Linked DNA regions of Struthio camelus. Each later gene encodes a partner of the first gene's protein in a complex. Links are inferred from orthologs where the notes say so. Each region holds a gene or a part of one and is shown in the gene's direction. Other genes may lie near its edges.

Region 1 (7,394 bases):
CTAGTTCATTGTTTCTTACCGTAATCCAACTTTACAGGCTTTCCAGGGATCCCTGCAGACGAGGACGGGGCCACTCAGAGGCCCATCTCAGAGTCATCACTGGGCCACAAGAAGCCATGGTCCCGAGAGCTGCCCTTCTGCTCCTTGGGCTGGCTGCCTTGGTCTCCCACCGTCCCTCCGAGCCCAAGGCCACCTCCAAGATGGGCAGGGCAAAGCTGAGGGCCAGATGGGAAGCAGCCCCACGGAGACCTCTGGATCACGCAGAGATAGGGCCTGAATCCCTTCTTGGCACAGGAGAGAGAGAAAGCTCCAGCCAGCCGATCCGGCGTAAGTACCCAGCAGCTGCCACAGGAGAGGGGCTGGTGGAGAGAGCCTGCCCCAGGCAGCAGCCACTGCCCCTCCGGCCAGCTGAGTGGCAGATCCTCTTAACTGATCCTCTTAGAGTGGCTGCCTCTTAACCCTCACCCACTTGACTTATTTGCTGTGGAGGAGAAGGAGAGGTGGGAGGTCAGCCCTGCAGGGGGTTCTGGGATGGGACCGCTGCTGGACTTGCAGCCCACAGGGCCAAAGTTTCCTGGGAAGTTTCCCGGGAAGGATGAACTTCTCCATCCTGGAAGATGGACACTAGGCACACTGCCCCACGGGATCTGGGGGCTTCATGTCCACCCTGCCAACCGTTAGCCTGCAGCAGATGAGGCGCCCTGCAGCTCCGACTGGCACTGATCGTGGGACATGCTGCTCGTGCTGCCCCAAATGACCCTCTCGTCCTCTGTGTACATGGGTGCACGAGCGGGCTCCCTCCTCCGGCTGTAGTGCACACACGCACAGTTTGCGTGGAGTGCACTGACTTCTTCTAAGGGCTGAGGTTCGTCACAGTGGCTCCAGAGTCCTACATGAGGGACACATTGCTGTGTCCCAGGCGAGGGCAGCGGCACATGTGTGCGTAGCCAGAGAAGCCAGATGCAGTGGGCCCTGCACAGGCAGCCCAGGCAAGAGGAAGGCTCTGACCCTGCTTCAAAATACTCTCAAATCCAAGAAAAAGGAACGAGTGTTTATGGTATTTCTCTGCTCTCCTCAATGGGGAGTTCTGCCGCAAGATCCCAAAGGCCCCTGGGATCAGAGGGATTCATTTTGGCAGAACCGGGCATGTGAAATCTGAGTCAGGATTGAACATCCCCAGGTCTGCCACCAGCAGAAACACCTCGAAGCAAGAGCCTGGACGGCTGCCTGTGCCGCAAAGAGCCTCTGGGGAGCCTGGAGCCTGGCTCTCACCCCTCTCCCATCCCTCCCTCACGTTCACTAGGACGCGTCTCTTCCCCAGGTGTCCGCCGGTCCTGGCTGGCAGACTACCTGGATGACCTGTGGTCTCACCTCCGTGAGAACTTCCCCGAGGCGGTCCTGTACGTCCTCCCCGTCACCCTGGTGGTCCTGCTCCTTCTCTGCTGCATCACGTACGTGTGCGCCCCCCACCGTCTGGTGGTCCCTCCCTTTGGGGGCAGGCTTTTAGCTCTCTGGGTTGTGCTGTCGTGGTCATAGCTCTGAAACCCCCCCTCCCGTCACGAGCAAGGCTGTGGCTGTGAGGACGAGCACCTCTGGCCGCTGGCGTAAGACACAGCAGGAGGAATAAGAGATTTACAGTGCAGGATGCTGATCGAAAGCTAGTCCCCAGCCTATGAGCCATAGACAAAAGTAAATAGAAAAAAAAAAGAAAAAAAGAAAAAAAGAAAAGAAAGGAAATCAAGGCCCCAAAGCACAGAGGTCATATGAGAACTTTCTCCAAGTTCCAGATTGGGGCTTCTGCTCAATATGTGGCTTTTCTGGCTCCTTTTGTATACAAAGATACACTGCATGCACCAGGGCAAGGAGGGGCAGCCAGGGCTGATAGGCTCCCACTGACCTGTGGGAAGGGGCTTGGGGGGCAGGCTGTTCGGGGGGCAGACCCACAGCTTCTCTCCTGTCTTTGAACCCCCCCTTGCAAGGGGCAGGGCTGGGTGCCTTGCTGCAGAGGAGCGCCCTTCTTGCTCCCTGCCGGGCTGCGCTTCCTCTGCGGAGTGCCACCGGCATCCTCGGCGCCGGTCACATCAGCACGTGCAGCCCCTGCACCTCCTCTTCCTCCCTCCCCGCATCTCACAGTGCTCTGAGCCTTCAGCTAGCCCAGCCGGAAGCAGTTTTATTCCCCCAAGGCAGGAGAAACTTGCTATCAAAATGAGATAGATTTTCTTTCTTTACTTTTTCTCCTCCTCTTAGTCCCCTACTTCCCTATTACCTGCCTCCAGGGACTTACACCCTCCTTCTCCTTCTCTCTTAGGATAGCTTTAGACTGAGGAGACCTGGGGAACTCGGAGAGAGAGTAGCGTTGCTACAGCACAGAAAAGGCTGGTGCCTTCATGGAGTCCGGCCCCAAAAAAACCTCCTCAAAACCACCAGGTACCAGAGAGGTTGTGGAAAGACCGAAAGCAGAACCACTGTCCTTTCCCTTTCAGTGACTGTTTTAAAGAAGAGAATATTCCCCCCTCCCCAAGAATGAATTTTCCCAATCCCAGATAAGGTTTAAACTTTATCTCCAGCTCCAGTGTCAGTATGACTCATACCAAGACCACAAAACACTTGGCAACAGCCCTTCCTATGCACGTCACGAACGCAGCGACTTGCAAGCCCCCCCATAAGCACGTAAAGCACAGGTGCGGGGGGGTGCAATAGGATGCTGAATATCCCGGAGGATGGAAAAACTTGGAATAGTACGAGGAGACCAGGACGTGGCAAGCAGCTGCAGGGCACCGACATCCCCGGGCCGCAGCCCGAGTCCGGCGGTCAGCATCCCACGCTCCGCACGCCGTCAGCGCTCGGGAAGGACCGGCAGCGTGTCAGCACCGCGTGCACGCAGATGCTGCCTTCTGGGACAGGCGCCCCACGTCACTGCCAGGCCTCTCCGGTGCCCGTGCGGGGCCAAAGCCTTTCTCAGATCCAGCCCCCAGCTGCATTTTTGGTGGCGGTGACCTTGCGTGAGTTTGTGGCGGGGTGTGAGGGGTGCAGCCCGGCCAGAGGTGGCCCATCGGCAGCCAAGCGGCTGCCGGCACGCTCCCTGGTGCGGTTTGGGCCAGACTAAGAGCGCTTTCAGGGGACAGCACAGGCCAGGGACCGTTCCCAGGAGGGACGGGATGGGGCCACCCTGTTTTGTGGGGGAAAACACTCCTTTTTGGGCTCTGAAGCAACTCCAAATTGAACTTGACAGTGCTGATGTGCCACCCTGGGACACCAGGGACACCATGTCCGAGCGATGGCAGGGCGCTCAGCACTGCGGGCGGACCGGGATGGATGGGGACGGGGCATGGAGGAGGGAAGCAGTACTGCTGTCGCTCCTGGTATCGTTCACTCAGCACTCCCGCAGCTAGCACCAGGTCTGGTACCGACTGTAAATCAATTAGCGCCTTCCATTAACTCCATGCGTTAACACCCTGCTGGCACAGCGCCTCTCCTCTCAGATCTGCCCATCCCACTGATGCACCAAACGGGTCGGTGTCCTGGGGAGCCTCCTGGGCCTGGACACATCTCCTTCTCCGAGCGTCAACCCAGCACATGCAGCCTTTGAGGGCACCCAGCAGGCCCCCAGTTTCTGCAGCTTCTGGCTTGGGGCAGCTCAACTTGAGCCTGAGGTTTCCTACGGAGCCTAGCTGGGGGCAGGCTCGGTCCGTTGCAGAGGGGAGTTAATTTCTGTCACAACTCTTCCAGTCTCAGCTTCCAACCTGCAGACTGGCAGGTGCTGTAAGCAGCCGAGCGGGGACGGTTGCTGCACCGATACCTTCTCAGATTGGCCTTCTGGCAACCTCCCCTCAGTGCCAAGCTCTTCGGCCCACTTACTGAAACAGAAGTCAGCTCATGACAGAAGTCAGAGAGAAATGCAGAACCTCTGGCATGGTGGGAAGGGGCTGTCTGAGATGGGGCGGGAGGAAGAGAGAGAGGAAGAATCCCTTTCCCGCACACACGGCTTGGCTTGCAAAAGCAGTACGTTTGCTTGAGATAATGCGAATGAGAGTCCCAACAGGGTCCTGGTGAGGGGGAGGCCTCCATCTCCCGGAGGCACCGCCGGCCGGGACCCGAGGGGTCTGTCCGCTCCACCTCAAACTGCCCCGGGGAGCTGGGGAGAGGGGCAGCTCCCAGGCTCAGCCCCCCGCTCGGCCGGCGCCGCGGCTCGGGCACCGAGGGCCGCCGGAGGAGCCGGGGGCAGCGCGGGGCTGCAGCGGCAGCGAGCGGGGCCGGGCCGTGCGGTGCCGCAGCGCTGCCCGGGGCGGGGGGAGCCCTGCCCGCCGCCGGCCCCGCCCGCCCGCCCGGCCTCCCCCGCCCCGAGACGGGCGGAGCGAGCGGGCGGCCGCGGCGCTGCTGGAGCCGGGCGGCGGAGCCGGGGCCGGGGCTGGAGCCGGGTCTGGGGCCGGGCGGCGGGGCCGGGGCCGAGCCGCTCTGCTGGAGCCAGCGGAACCGGCTGCGGCTGCTGGCGGCGCGGTGGCGGCGCGGTGGCGGCGGGATGACCCTCAAGTCGGGCCGCAGCGACAGCGTGGGCAGCATGCGGACGGCGCTCTCCGACCTCTACCTGGAGCACCTGCTGCAGAACCGGGCCAAGCCCGAGGTGAGCCGGGCCCGGGGCCAGCGGCGCGGTGGCCCCTGCGAGCGCGGCCGCGGGCAGCCCCGGCGCCGGTGCTCGGTGCTGGGCGGGGGGGGGCTCTGCCGCTGGCGCTGGCTGGCTCCTGCCAGGGGCCGGGGGACCCCCTGGACGAACCCCCCGAACAGGCTGGGCATGGAGCCCTGTGCGCCCCCTGCCCTGCTGCCCCCCTCCCCGGGCCAGCCTGCCCACCTGCCTGCTGCGATGCCCCGCACCCAGCACCCGGGGCTGGCCAGGGCCCGCACCGGCCCCTGGGGTGTCCCCCTCCGTCCCGTCCCTCCTGCCCCCGCAGCGGGGAGCAAGGCCACATCAAGCAGCCACCCCACGGCAGGCAGGAGGACACGTGGGTGCCTGCCCCCTCCGTGGCGCCGCTGGGCCCTGCGGCACCCTGGCAGCAGGTCTCCTTGCTCGGGGCCGTGGGGCTCCTTAGAGGAAAGGTTAGCCAGCTTGGCTAGCGTTGCGCGGACAGGGAAGAGGGAGCTGAGCTGGAGGGGAGGAAGGCTTTAGCATCCTGCCACGGAGGAGGCTGTGCTTGTTTTTGCTGCAAAGTTGTGTAGCTGGTCTGGACTGGAACTGCCTGTCACATGAGCTGATTCGGCTGCTGAGCAACCTGCAGGTCCACAGCGTAGACTGGAGGGGTTGCGGTGCAGGGTCTCGGCCCCGGGAAAGGATGCAGCCAGCCCTTCTCACACGCTCCCCGGGCAGGCAGCGGGCCTGGGGGCCAGACACACGCCGTCTGCAGTGGAAGAAGGGCAGGCTGCACTGTCTCTGTCATGCTGGGAGGGCTCCTTCCCCAGCCAGTGCTGCTTGGGGCTGCTTGAGCGTAAGCGGGAGAAGGTCAGCAGTTCCCTGTGCTGAGCAGCCAGCGGTTTTCTCCCAGCAGAGACGCTCGGCTCTGAGCAGAAGCCCCTGACCGAGCCACAGCATGAGCACGTCTGGCTTGCGCCGAGGTTTCCTTGCTGCTGCGGGGGGCCTCCAAAAGTAGGGAGGAAATTTCTCTGAAGTGCTGTCTTTGGCCCATCCTGTTGGATAGCAAAGCATCCAAAAGAGGCTCGCTCAGAGCGGGCCCACACCGGTGGTTTGTGTGCTTTTTATGGCTCAACCCTGACACAGGGCTTAAAAAAAAGAAAGAAAGAAAGAAAAAAGACCTGGGCTTGCAGTGAGACCTTTTGAGAGGAGCGCCGTAGGGCTGGCACCCCACTGGAGGGGGGGGGGGGGGGTCCTGCAGCTGGGAAGGGGAAAGCCTGCGGTGTGTCGGGGTGATCAGCAGGCTGTGGGGGGGGGATGCTGCGGATGCCCCTTTCACGAAGGTCGGGGACTTGGGGGGGGGGTGGGTTATATGTCCTGAGCTTCCCAGTCGGGCACTCGCCAGGCTGAGTCGCAAGCAGGCAGAGACGGCGCTGACCGGGCCCGCGGTGCCCTGCGCAGCTGTAGGGACGTCACACGTCCTGGGTCTGGCCGGCTGCTCCGCCGCTTGAGTCAGACAGAGCCAGCGGGAGGTTCCTCTTCCCCTTTTCCCCGGCAGAGCCACGTGCTGGGAAGCGCTGTCCTGCAGTCCTCCCACGGGGACGGAGCGCGCAAAGTGAGTGGCAGTGGTGGCTTTGCTAGTAGAAAACAAGCAGGAGCGGAGGAAGCCGCTTGTCCTCTTCCCTTGAGCCCCAGCCCGCGACCATATGTTTTCCGCTTATCTCCCTGCTGGCACATACAGATTTGCCAAAGAGGTGTGGGCTTTATTCCTAGCTCTGCTCCTGGTTTGCAGGGTGACCTTGGGCTGTCACCTTATCTGCCGTGACTCAGTTCCCCCAGCTGTAAAATGGGCAGCGAATCTGCCCTTTGGGAGTCCAGGGGAGAAAAGGGAGGTGCTGGCATGGGAAGAGAGAGCGTGCAGAAGAGGCCAGCGTTAATAACGGCACAGGTATACCCACGGTCGATGCCCTCTCAGTGACGGCCACGGTGGTGTTCCGAAACGGCCAAGGGCAAAACTAGTTAGGCGTTGAGCAAAACTTTTGTTTTTGACCAAAAATGAAGGGGATAGGGCTGATTTCACCTTCTTAGGATGTGTTTTGCGATGTTCCAGTGTGTAACGGCAGTAGGGAAAAAGCCATTTTGCAGGGCTGGTTGTGGGAGGCTGGGGATGGAGCCCCTGGGGCGCTCAGAAGATTTCTTCCTCGGGTATGACGGTTTTAGTGCCTCTGCCTCGGAGGTGGCAGGTTTCACAAACACATCTGGAAGGCTGCATCAGTCTTTCCTGGCAGGAAAACGGTACCTCAGCAAACCTTGACTGAGCTCCCTCGAAAACCTGCCCCTTCTCAATTTCAGCCCCGCGTGAGCTGGAGTCAGAGCAAGGACACGCGGAGCCGAGCCTGCGGGAGCCGGGCGCAGACACCTTCCCCCACAGCCGCTCCGCTCCCTCCTGTCTCGCCGTTCCCCCTGACCTGTCCATCGCCGTCTGACCTGTCCACATAGCTGTTTCTTATCCTAATTTAATCAATGCGATCCTGTTTGGCTTAAATGCCTTTTTTTTTTTTTTTAAATCCTGGACCATGTTGCTGGGGTCTTGGGAGAGGTTAGTCGATACTCGACCGGGTGATGGTCCTGGCAGAGCTGGGAAGGCAGTAGCCTCAGGCGGGAGGCAGTGATTAATGACTTCTAGATGTCCACATGCCTGTGGCTCCCCAGCCTGCTGGAGTGGCCAGAAAGCAACACTCAAGCTCTGCTTTTTGGTAGTTTGCTTTTTTTT
Region 2 (7,862 bases), on another chromosome or scaffold:
GCACTAAACACTAAAATGTTTAACTGCAAAATCATTGCAAAGTAGGGAGTATGTTGTGCTCCAAGGATAGGAATAAATCCTGAAGGTTCAAGTAGAAATCAGAGGGCGGTAAAAAGAAAGTTGTATGCCTGAGATGCAAAATAGGAAGGCCAGCTGATTTCCTGTCTCCAGAGTAAATCCTTCTATATTGGCCTTATGTGAGGGTCAAGGGCTTACTCAGTAACAATTATGGTTATGACTGCAGAGGGAGAATCCTGTTCTGTGCCCGAAGGATTTCACAACCTAGTTGCATTTACAGTCACCGGCAGCTTAGGTATCCCATAAAACATGGATTATGCTTGCACCATAGTCCGTCCTGGGAAATAGACCCACTTTGATCCTTTTGCGTGGTCGCAGAGGTTTCATCCCCTGTGACATTACATCAGAACTGAGTTTGGCCTACTCAGGGGATCAGGAGTCTATGGCCAATACCACCCACCCTCCTAGCACAAAAATGACTGGGAAACGGGAAGGAAACAAAACTGCTGAAGTCAAAGGGAAGATCCTACAATATGAGGTAACGCATAAATAGACTACTGTTCCTTCCAGGGATGGGGGAAGGTAATCAGTAGGAAATGGTGCTTCACAGGGTATGCAGAGCCAAGTGCTTTCCTGAAACATCTCTCGTATGAAGGATCCTTCATTCGTGATTCAGCATAGCTCCTGCTACACCACAACCGTAGCTCTCCTTGACCTGCAGTAAGTCTTCAACATTTGGGAACCACCCCAGCTGCACAATGTTCACCAGTCAAGGGTGCTTGAGACACCCTACCGTGTATAGCCAGCACAGTACACGAGAAAGCTGACACCATCACCATCACGCTTGCCAGCAGCCTTTGGTGACCGCAGCACATGGACCAGATGGGACGCACAGCTGGCCTACACAAGCATAGCCTTTGGTAGAGGCATGAGGGGCATCTTGAACTCGCAGTTGGGGAAGAATCATCAGAACCACTTCAACAACTGTTACACTCTGAGTGGCTCCTCAGGTGAAGCAATGCTGAAGCTGCATCTCTTTCTCCTCAAAGGTCCATGTGGTGGATACAAACATCCTCTCTGAGGACAGCAGAGGCTGGGATGGGTGGACAGTGAGATATTCCTGGGAACTTTCCCCTCAGCCTGTCTCAATCTTGTCATGATTTTTGTAGGCTGAGACTACAGATTTAGCATTATGTCTTGTCATTAAAATCCAGCAAAGACAGCGATTTCTAGTCCTATTTCCTATTGTTGTCAGGCAAAACTTCCTGGATAGAGACTTTTTACTTCAGCTTATTTATTTATTTTCCTTCGAGTGCAGCCTAAACCCTCCCTTCCTGTTGGGAATAACAGCTGCAGCATACAGCATCAGCTTGCCAAGCCTGAGAGACTGTGAAATGTCATTTACCTTGGAGCAAGATGGTATCAAAAAGAACAGCCATGTGGGCCTGACTACGAATTCATTCCATGGCTATGTTTAAGAAGAGGAGGGTGAGTTGCAGTATCAGAGGCAAAAGACATCCTACTTTCAAGCTAACACTTATATACGTGAAAGGACTGTCACATCTGAAAGCATTAGCGGAAAAAAAAAGAGAATTTTGGTTTCCTTGCTCGGTGAAGCACTCTGAGCTTTCAAAGGCTGCAGATACAAAAGTATTCACCAGGGCAGGAAACTGATACTTCTTCTGTAGGTTAATGGGGACATAGTGGCCCCAGAAGACCAAGTAATTGGCTGATGAAAGCCACAAAGCTGACACACAGACTTCCCAGCATACCTGCATTATCCCACAAATCTGGAGGAACCTGTATAAATACCATAGGCTATAGATAAAAAATGTTTCAGCTACCATCTTGTTGCCTTCACCATTCGGCCTTTTTTGTTTTCTTGTTTTTGCAAATGCTGTATCTAGAGATTAGGAGAGAGTTCAGACAAGCTGGAAATTAATGACTAATCACATTTCTTGTTCCTCCCTGCTCCTATCTTTCGCTCCCAGTTCCTTTGCTGCCTCTGCTCCCCTCCGGGTGGTGGGATGAGGGGTCAAGGGGAGGCAGAGGGCCCTTTACTGCTCTTTGTTTAGTGCCCTCATCTCAGGCTCTTCAGGAAGCATTCTGAACTGTGTGGAGCTAGACATGCTCTCTTCCCTTTCAAACTTCACATATTTCCCATTAATGATGAGTGGGCAAGGTCAGTGAGGGTCTCTTTTATGCTCTCCTTGAGGGCAAGTAAAAAACTTGGGTCCCAGGTTCTCCAACTTCTTAGGATTTTCAGACTACTGAACAAGCAAGGAGAAAAGTCTTAAGAAAAGTGAAGATACCAAGATGTTAAAGGGGGTTTTCCAGTCTGTGCTCTGTTCTGCCAGAACATTAAACCTCTTATGTAACCTTGGGTACATCACTCCCATTAATTTTAGTGCTAGGAAAGTGGCCTACAGAAGAGCGAAGAAGATAGATAGGTGCAGAAATAGAAACAATTATTGTGATGCTGAATGTTGCCAAGACAAACTTTGGTGTTTCACTCTCCCTCAAAACAAGGGGATTTTTAACAGCCAGGGTGCTTAGGACAGCCCTCCTTGCCGACAGCAGGACCACATGCCTCCTGCTAAGCCTCTGTGGCTCTCTAAGTCTTGCAGGAGAGGATACTTGCTGCATGGTGACCCCATTTCAGAGGACGACTGCTACTTGCCCCCCCAGCCTTTTCTTTAGCGTGGAAGATCCTCACCTAAGCACGGATTTGAAGCTTCTCCGTTTAGGAAGTCTTGTAACCACAGTAAGTATCCTAGCAAGTAGGCAGGAGACATTTCACGCAACAGCCATTTCTTAAATAAACAGTTTGTTTTCACCCTAGATTTGCTTTCTGACCTTAGGCTGTGTATATTTGTGTGAACAGAGCATCCTTGCCAGATAAACCCCCTGGAAAACCCTAAGACCGAGGCTATCTAGTTCAAGTGTCCTCAGGTGCTCAGCTGCCCACCTCAGCCGAGAAGGCAGCTGCTCTGGGCTCGGACAGAAGCAGGATTTTAGGCGAAGGAATGTATCCTCACCTTAAAATTTGCATGCCTGCGGCCTCACGACTGGTTTCATCATTAGGCAAGGCCCTGTGTGAGAACTCGCTTACTCAGAGGCAACTAAATTATTCCAGTGAGGTTTCTTTGTGGCCTCCACGCTCATACCTGTGGGCTCCTGACCTTCAAGTTTTATTCACTGTTGATAAAAGGCGGGGGGGGGGGGGGCCCGTCTGCGCCTCACACGGAGAGAGCGGCGTTACGCGCCGGGAGCTAACGGCAGGGCGGAGGGCGGCCAAACCTGGCTGCGCGCCTGCCGTCCTCACTCGTCCGCCCCAAGGCCTCTGGGGAGCCCCTAGAGCGCTGGGGCGGCGGGTGGCTGGGGGCGCACGTCGCCGCGGCGGCCGGCGAGGGATCGCCACCCTCGGCCTCCCGCTCGGCCACGGCCGGCCGGGAAGTCTCCCCTCCGCAGCAGCTCCAAAAGTCCTCAGCGAGGAGGATGGCGACAGACGTAGAGGCGATGACGCCGCGTGGCAGCGCTCCTCCCGGCCCGCGGCAGAAAGCCCCGACCCCGGCCGCCCACCTGGCGCTTCACAGGCAGGAAGAGACTGGTAAAAATCCCCAGTCGGCATCTTCAGCACGACTCTGCGGCACATCAGTGTTGCCCTACAGAACTGAAGCCAGCGGAGCAACACCGGGAGTTTCTATGTTTGTTTTTTTTTCCCCCCTCTCTGCGTGGTGCCTTGCTTTGCTCTGTCGCTCCCTCGTGCAGGGCTCGCGGCTGGGAGCCCGGAGCGGGGAAAGTGCTGAGCGGGGGCCCTGGCTGCCCTTGCACACAGGAGCCGGCGGCCATTTGGCGCTGGCAGGTAGGTGAGGCCTCGCTCCTTCCACCCCAGGGCCGGGAAATAAATACCGTGCACCAAGTCCACGGCACTGATTTCTTGCGGGAGGTCACTGGGATGATTTCACAGAAATATCCTGCCACGCTTTTGCAAAACAGGATGAGCCTCGGCCTGAATTTCATGACTGTTTTTTTCCGCTTCCATCCCGGCGGCTGCGGTGTTTTTGCTGCAGCACCGGTAGCCGGTTAATTCATCCCGGCTCCCTCAGACTGGGAAAAGGAAAACTTCGGCCACTCTTCATAGTCCCTGAGATGTACTTGTTATGAATGACTTGTATTTTGGTAGGACCTACAAGTGCTAACCCATGTCAACCGCAGACTGACAGTGTAGGCCCGCTTCCAGCTACGCGCTGCTGATGGCGGCGTAACGTGCAGACAGCCCGACAGATAGCAAAACGGAGAGCTCCAAACAAAGCCAGGAGCCCAGTCCATGCTGAAAAGCTTGCCCAAGAATATGAATAAATTATCTCATCCTGAGCTCCCGACAAATATTTCTTATGTACAAACAACGCTTGCTTGCAGAATTAAAAGAAAAAGAAAAAAAAACCAAGACTAGAAAGAAAGAAGTCGTATCATCTTTATTCTACAGATGGCAAGCTGAGGTAGAGAAAGATTAAATGCCTTGCCCGAGATGCTGCAGGAAGCCAGGACTGGAGTTACCTGCATATCAGCCAGTGCCTCGGCCACAAGCGCTTCCTTTCTCTAAACACAGCTCAGATTCATGCTATACACTGGCATAACAGCTCTGACCCAGTAAATGCCATTCTCAATTTACACCCGTTAAAGGACAGAATCGGTTAGCTAGAGCTGCAGATGCTTCTGGTCAATGAAAATTAAAAGCGCTACTTTTGAGCTCATCCATTTTTTGCTGATGACAAGCATTTTTGGGAGGGACTTACTCGGCGCTGCGCTTTGCACTGAAAAGAAGTAATATCAACAGTCCTGAGTCCTGGCTTGGGAGGTGGATCTGAGAGGTGCATCTGGATTTGGCTGAGAGCGAAAAGAGTATTTTCTTTCCACTGGTTGCTGGCTAGTAAAAGCAAAGGGGTGGAATACATCCAGCTCGCAAAACTTGAAAACAGTTAGTGCTATCTGCAAATGAGTGCCCCTCCCCGCTCATGTGAGCTGCACAGGCAAAAGAGAATGACACATGTGCTGTTTCCTTTTCCAGTTGTAAAGGGGTCAGGAGCCCGGCAAGGAGAGTCTGAACAAGAGCAGCATTTTCCAGGGCTCTTCCAGCTGTCCTGCTCAGTCCCGCCGTCAGTTCTGAGCAGGGAAGAGAGACTGTCAGCACAAATAAGGCACTTTTCAAAGGCGTAAATTATGAGTTACCAAAACTATACGACATCTCCACCACGTGAGTACCCTTATTCCCCCCCCCCTTTACAGTAAGAATGGATTTACAAGTTTGTTGCTTAAGCAAAAGGTTGTCAAATGCGTTTCATGTGCAGTAGAGAAAAAAAAGAGAAAGAAAAAAAGTACTGAAACCTATCCTAAAGAAAAAAAGTTGTTTTGAAACTGTTACCCTCTCTTATTCTTGTGTGTGCGCGCGCGCGTGTTTGCAAAGCTGAAACAGACTGTGCAAACTCCGACTCCTGACTGCAACAGAGCAAAATTGGTAACGTTTCTGTCTAAATCCTGGCTTAGAAAAAGTTTCATTTAAATGTCTTCCCTTGCCTTACTCCCCCCGCCCCCCCCCCCCCCCCCCCGCCTTCAGGAATGAAAGTGGAGAGCGTTTCGAAAGCTTACTACCTCTTTTCTAAGTTATTAATGGTGCTGCCCAGCTTGTGTTCAGAGTCTCGAGCTGTCTGTGTGTAATATGAGACGCAAGCCACAAACTGACAGTCTATATTTAAAGAAGTCACAAAGCGTTTCTGCTCCTGGAAATTTGGAAACGTAGGTTTAAGGACAAGCAAATTAGTTTCTCAGCAAGAAAGGGTACAGGAGGGCAAGTCCTGTGTTGGCGTAACTCCGCATATTTCAATAAATTTGGAAAGAGAGAATTTGGCCTGAACAGTTCAAGTGATCACACTTAGCTGTGCCACGGTAGTATTCATTTTGGTATAGTCATAAAAAGAAAGGGCAGAGGAAGGGGATGGATTCTGACTTGATAACCTGAGAAAATTCGATGGGAAAACTCTGGGTTTGCAGTGCTGCAATAGCAGGATGTGGCTCCATATCTATTTTATGACTTGGGTATATAATCTTTCCTGTTCTAATTCAGAGATAGTAGTTTTAGTAAACAAACTCCCAATGGCAGAGTTGTTTATCATACCATGGTATCAGCAGTGAAGGCAGAAAGTACAGACAGGATTGCTGGGAGCTGCCTGTGGTTCAAGTTTTGATCCAATGATTGCTATAAGAATATTTGGTCTGTTTGGACGTTGACACTGACAATATTTTCCAAGCTTTGAAGGAGACAGGCTGATGCAGGAGAAGTGGCACAGTGAACAGGATCTCTGCAGTTCTGGCCAGCAATTTCTAATGTCCCTTTGGTCTTTTTTGCAAATTCAAACAAACCTGAAAAATTAGATGCTAGCTTTATCTCTTATTTTGTTTTGTTTTATTCAGCAGTTTAACAGATTAAAGCTTATTTTCTATTATTAGCAGAAAAGAAACATCCAGGGTAGTTCAGGATTCCGAGAGGTAGGGTTTAGAGGTGTAAATTACTGCCATTGGTCCTCTGAAAGTGTGTGTGCAGGAGGGTGGTAGTGACCCATCGGGGTGCATTTTGCTCACTGGGCGATATTAGCAAGGGCCCAGACCCATGCTTGCATCCTTTAGTGACAGCTTTGGCCAGCTGAAGAGTTCAGGACTGGCTAAACAGTCCTCAGTACATTACACCTCTCAGATAGACTCAAACTGTCAGAGAACCCCAAAGAAGGCCCTAAGGTGTATCTAGGTGAAGTGTTACTTCTTATAGGAGAATATCACTGTAGATTTTTATCTTTGTTCAGAATGTAGAACAGCCGATGAGTCAGATTTTCTTATAATATCCAAAACCTGGGCAGAAATTCTGAGCTTGAACCATTTAAAGCTCATATGATTGCCAGTAAAAATAAGTGGTTTGCAATCTAGCTAAAATTCTGATTAACTGTCTATTCTCTGCTTGCTCTCATAATTTCCCGTACTGTTTCAGACAGGATGTTCCTGTATCTTGTTTCAGTCTGCATCTCTTTGTTTTTTGAATCACATAGATCAAATTTACAGATCAAGAACAAAATTAAGTTAAAGGCAAGTCTGATAATACTATATGCCCACATAGTGCAAGTTTGGTGCATTGTTTTTGTAACAGTTGAGGTTTTCAGGGTAGAGTTTGGGGAAGAGTCTCATTTTGTAGTAAAATTTCAGTAATTTTGGTGAGTGAGAAGATACTAAACGATCAGTATATTGACAGGCACTGCAGAGCATGGACAGCAGATGTTTGGCAGAGAACGAGAGTATTTTGGAAAAAATAAATTTGTTCATAACCACAGTCAAAATCTTTGAAATGGGTGTGAAAATGCCTGAAGTGTCACCGAAGCCTTTGACCATATGGAACATATTAATTCTTTGCTGGTTACCTGCAGGTGAGACCACAGAGCAGCTGCCTACTGATATAAACAGAACAGAGTTAAGTTACCTAATTGCTCCTGTTCTTTTCTTATCTTCTTGTATTCACTCACAGCTGATAAGGGATTTTTATTCATTCTGTAAATACAGTATGATCCTGACAACCCAGGTGATAGCAGAATAGAAAGACTACCATTTCAGATTTGAAACGTTCATGTCTGTGAACCTTGCAAAGGTATTTTGCCTCTATGGGGGTGCCACACCATCTAGCCTCAGGCAATTCCCATGCCCAGCTCAGATATCCTGTTCCAGTCATTGCCTCAATAGAGAGGCAGGCTAGTCAGTAAGTCAGCCTGCCTGTGTGAGGCCATGTGCAGTGTATTAATTCCATT

What was found. The genes of interacting proteins can lie anywhere in the genome.
Region 2: the proteins of MPP1 (region 1) and GYPC are in contact, whole or in part, in an NMR structure (PDB 2EJY), measured with the Homo sapiens proteins. The link is inferred for Struthio camelus from reciprocal best matches to the Homo sapiens genes MPP1 and GYPC. Residues at the interface, in NP_002427.1 of Homo sapiens: Pro81, Met82, Gly83, Ile84, Leu86, Lys87, Leu88, Leu100, Val130, Gln134; in NP_002092.1 of Homo sapiens: Arg123, Lys124, Glu125, Tyr126, Ile128.

The regions. Positions count from the first base shown.
Region 1 is NC_090952.1:25,945,184-25,952,577, forward strand, and holds the start of MPP1 (55 kDa erythrocyte membrane protein), read left to right. Parts: upstream 1-4,389; 5' UTR 4,390-4,519; coding exon 4,520-4,621; intron 4,622-7,394. UniProt on the Homo sapiens protein: Essential regulator of neutrophil polarity. Regulates neutrophil polarization by regulating AKT1 phosphorylation through a mechanism that is independent of PIK3CG activity.
Region 2 is NC_090947.1:30,402,963-30,410,824, reverse strand, and holds the start of GYPC (glycophorin-C), read left to right. Parts: upstream 1-4,845; 5' UTR 4,846-4,999; intron 5,000-5,089; 5' UTR 5,090-5,241; coding exon 5,242-5,275; intron 5,276-7,862. UniProt on the Homo sapiens protein: This protein is a minor sialoglycoprotein in human erythrocyte membranes. The blood group Gerbich antigens and receptors for Plasmodium falciparum merozoites are most likely located within the extracellular domain.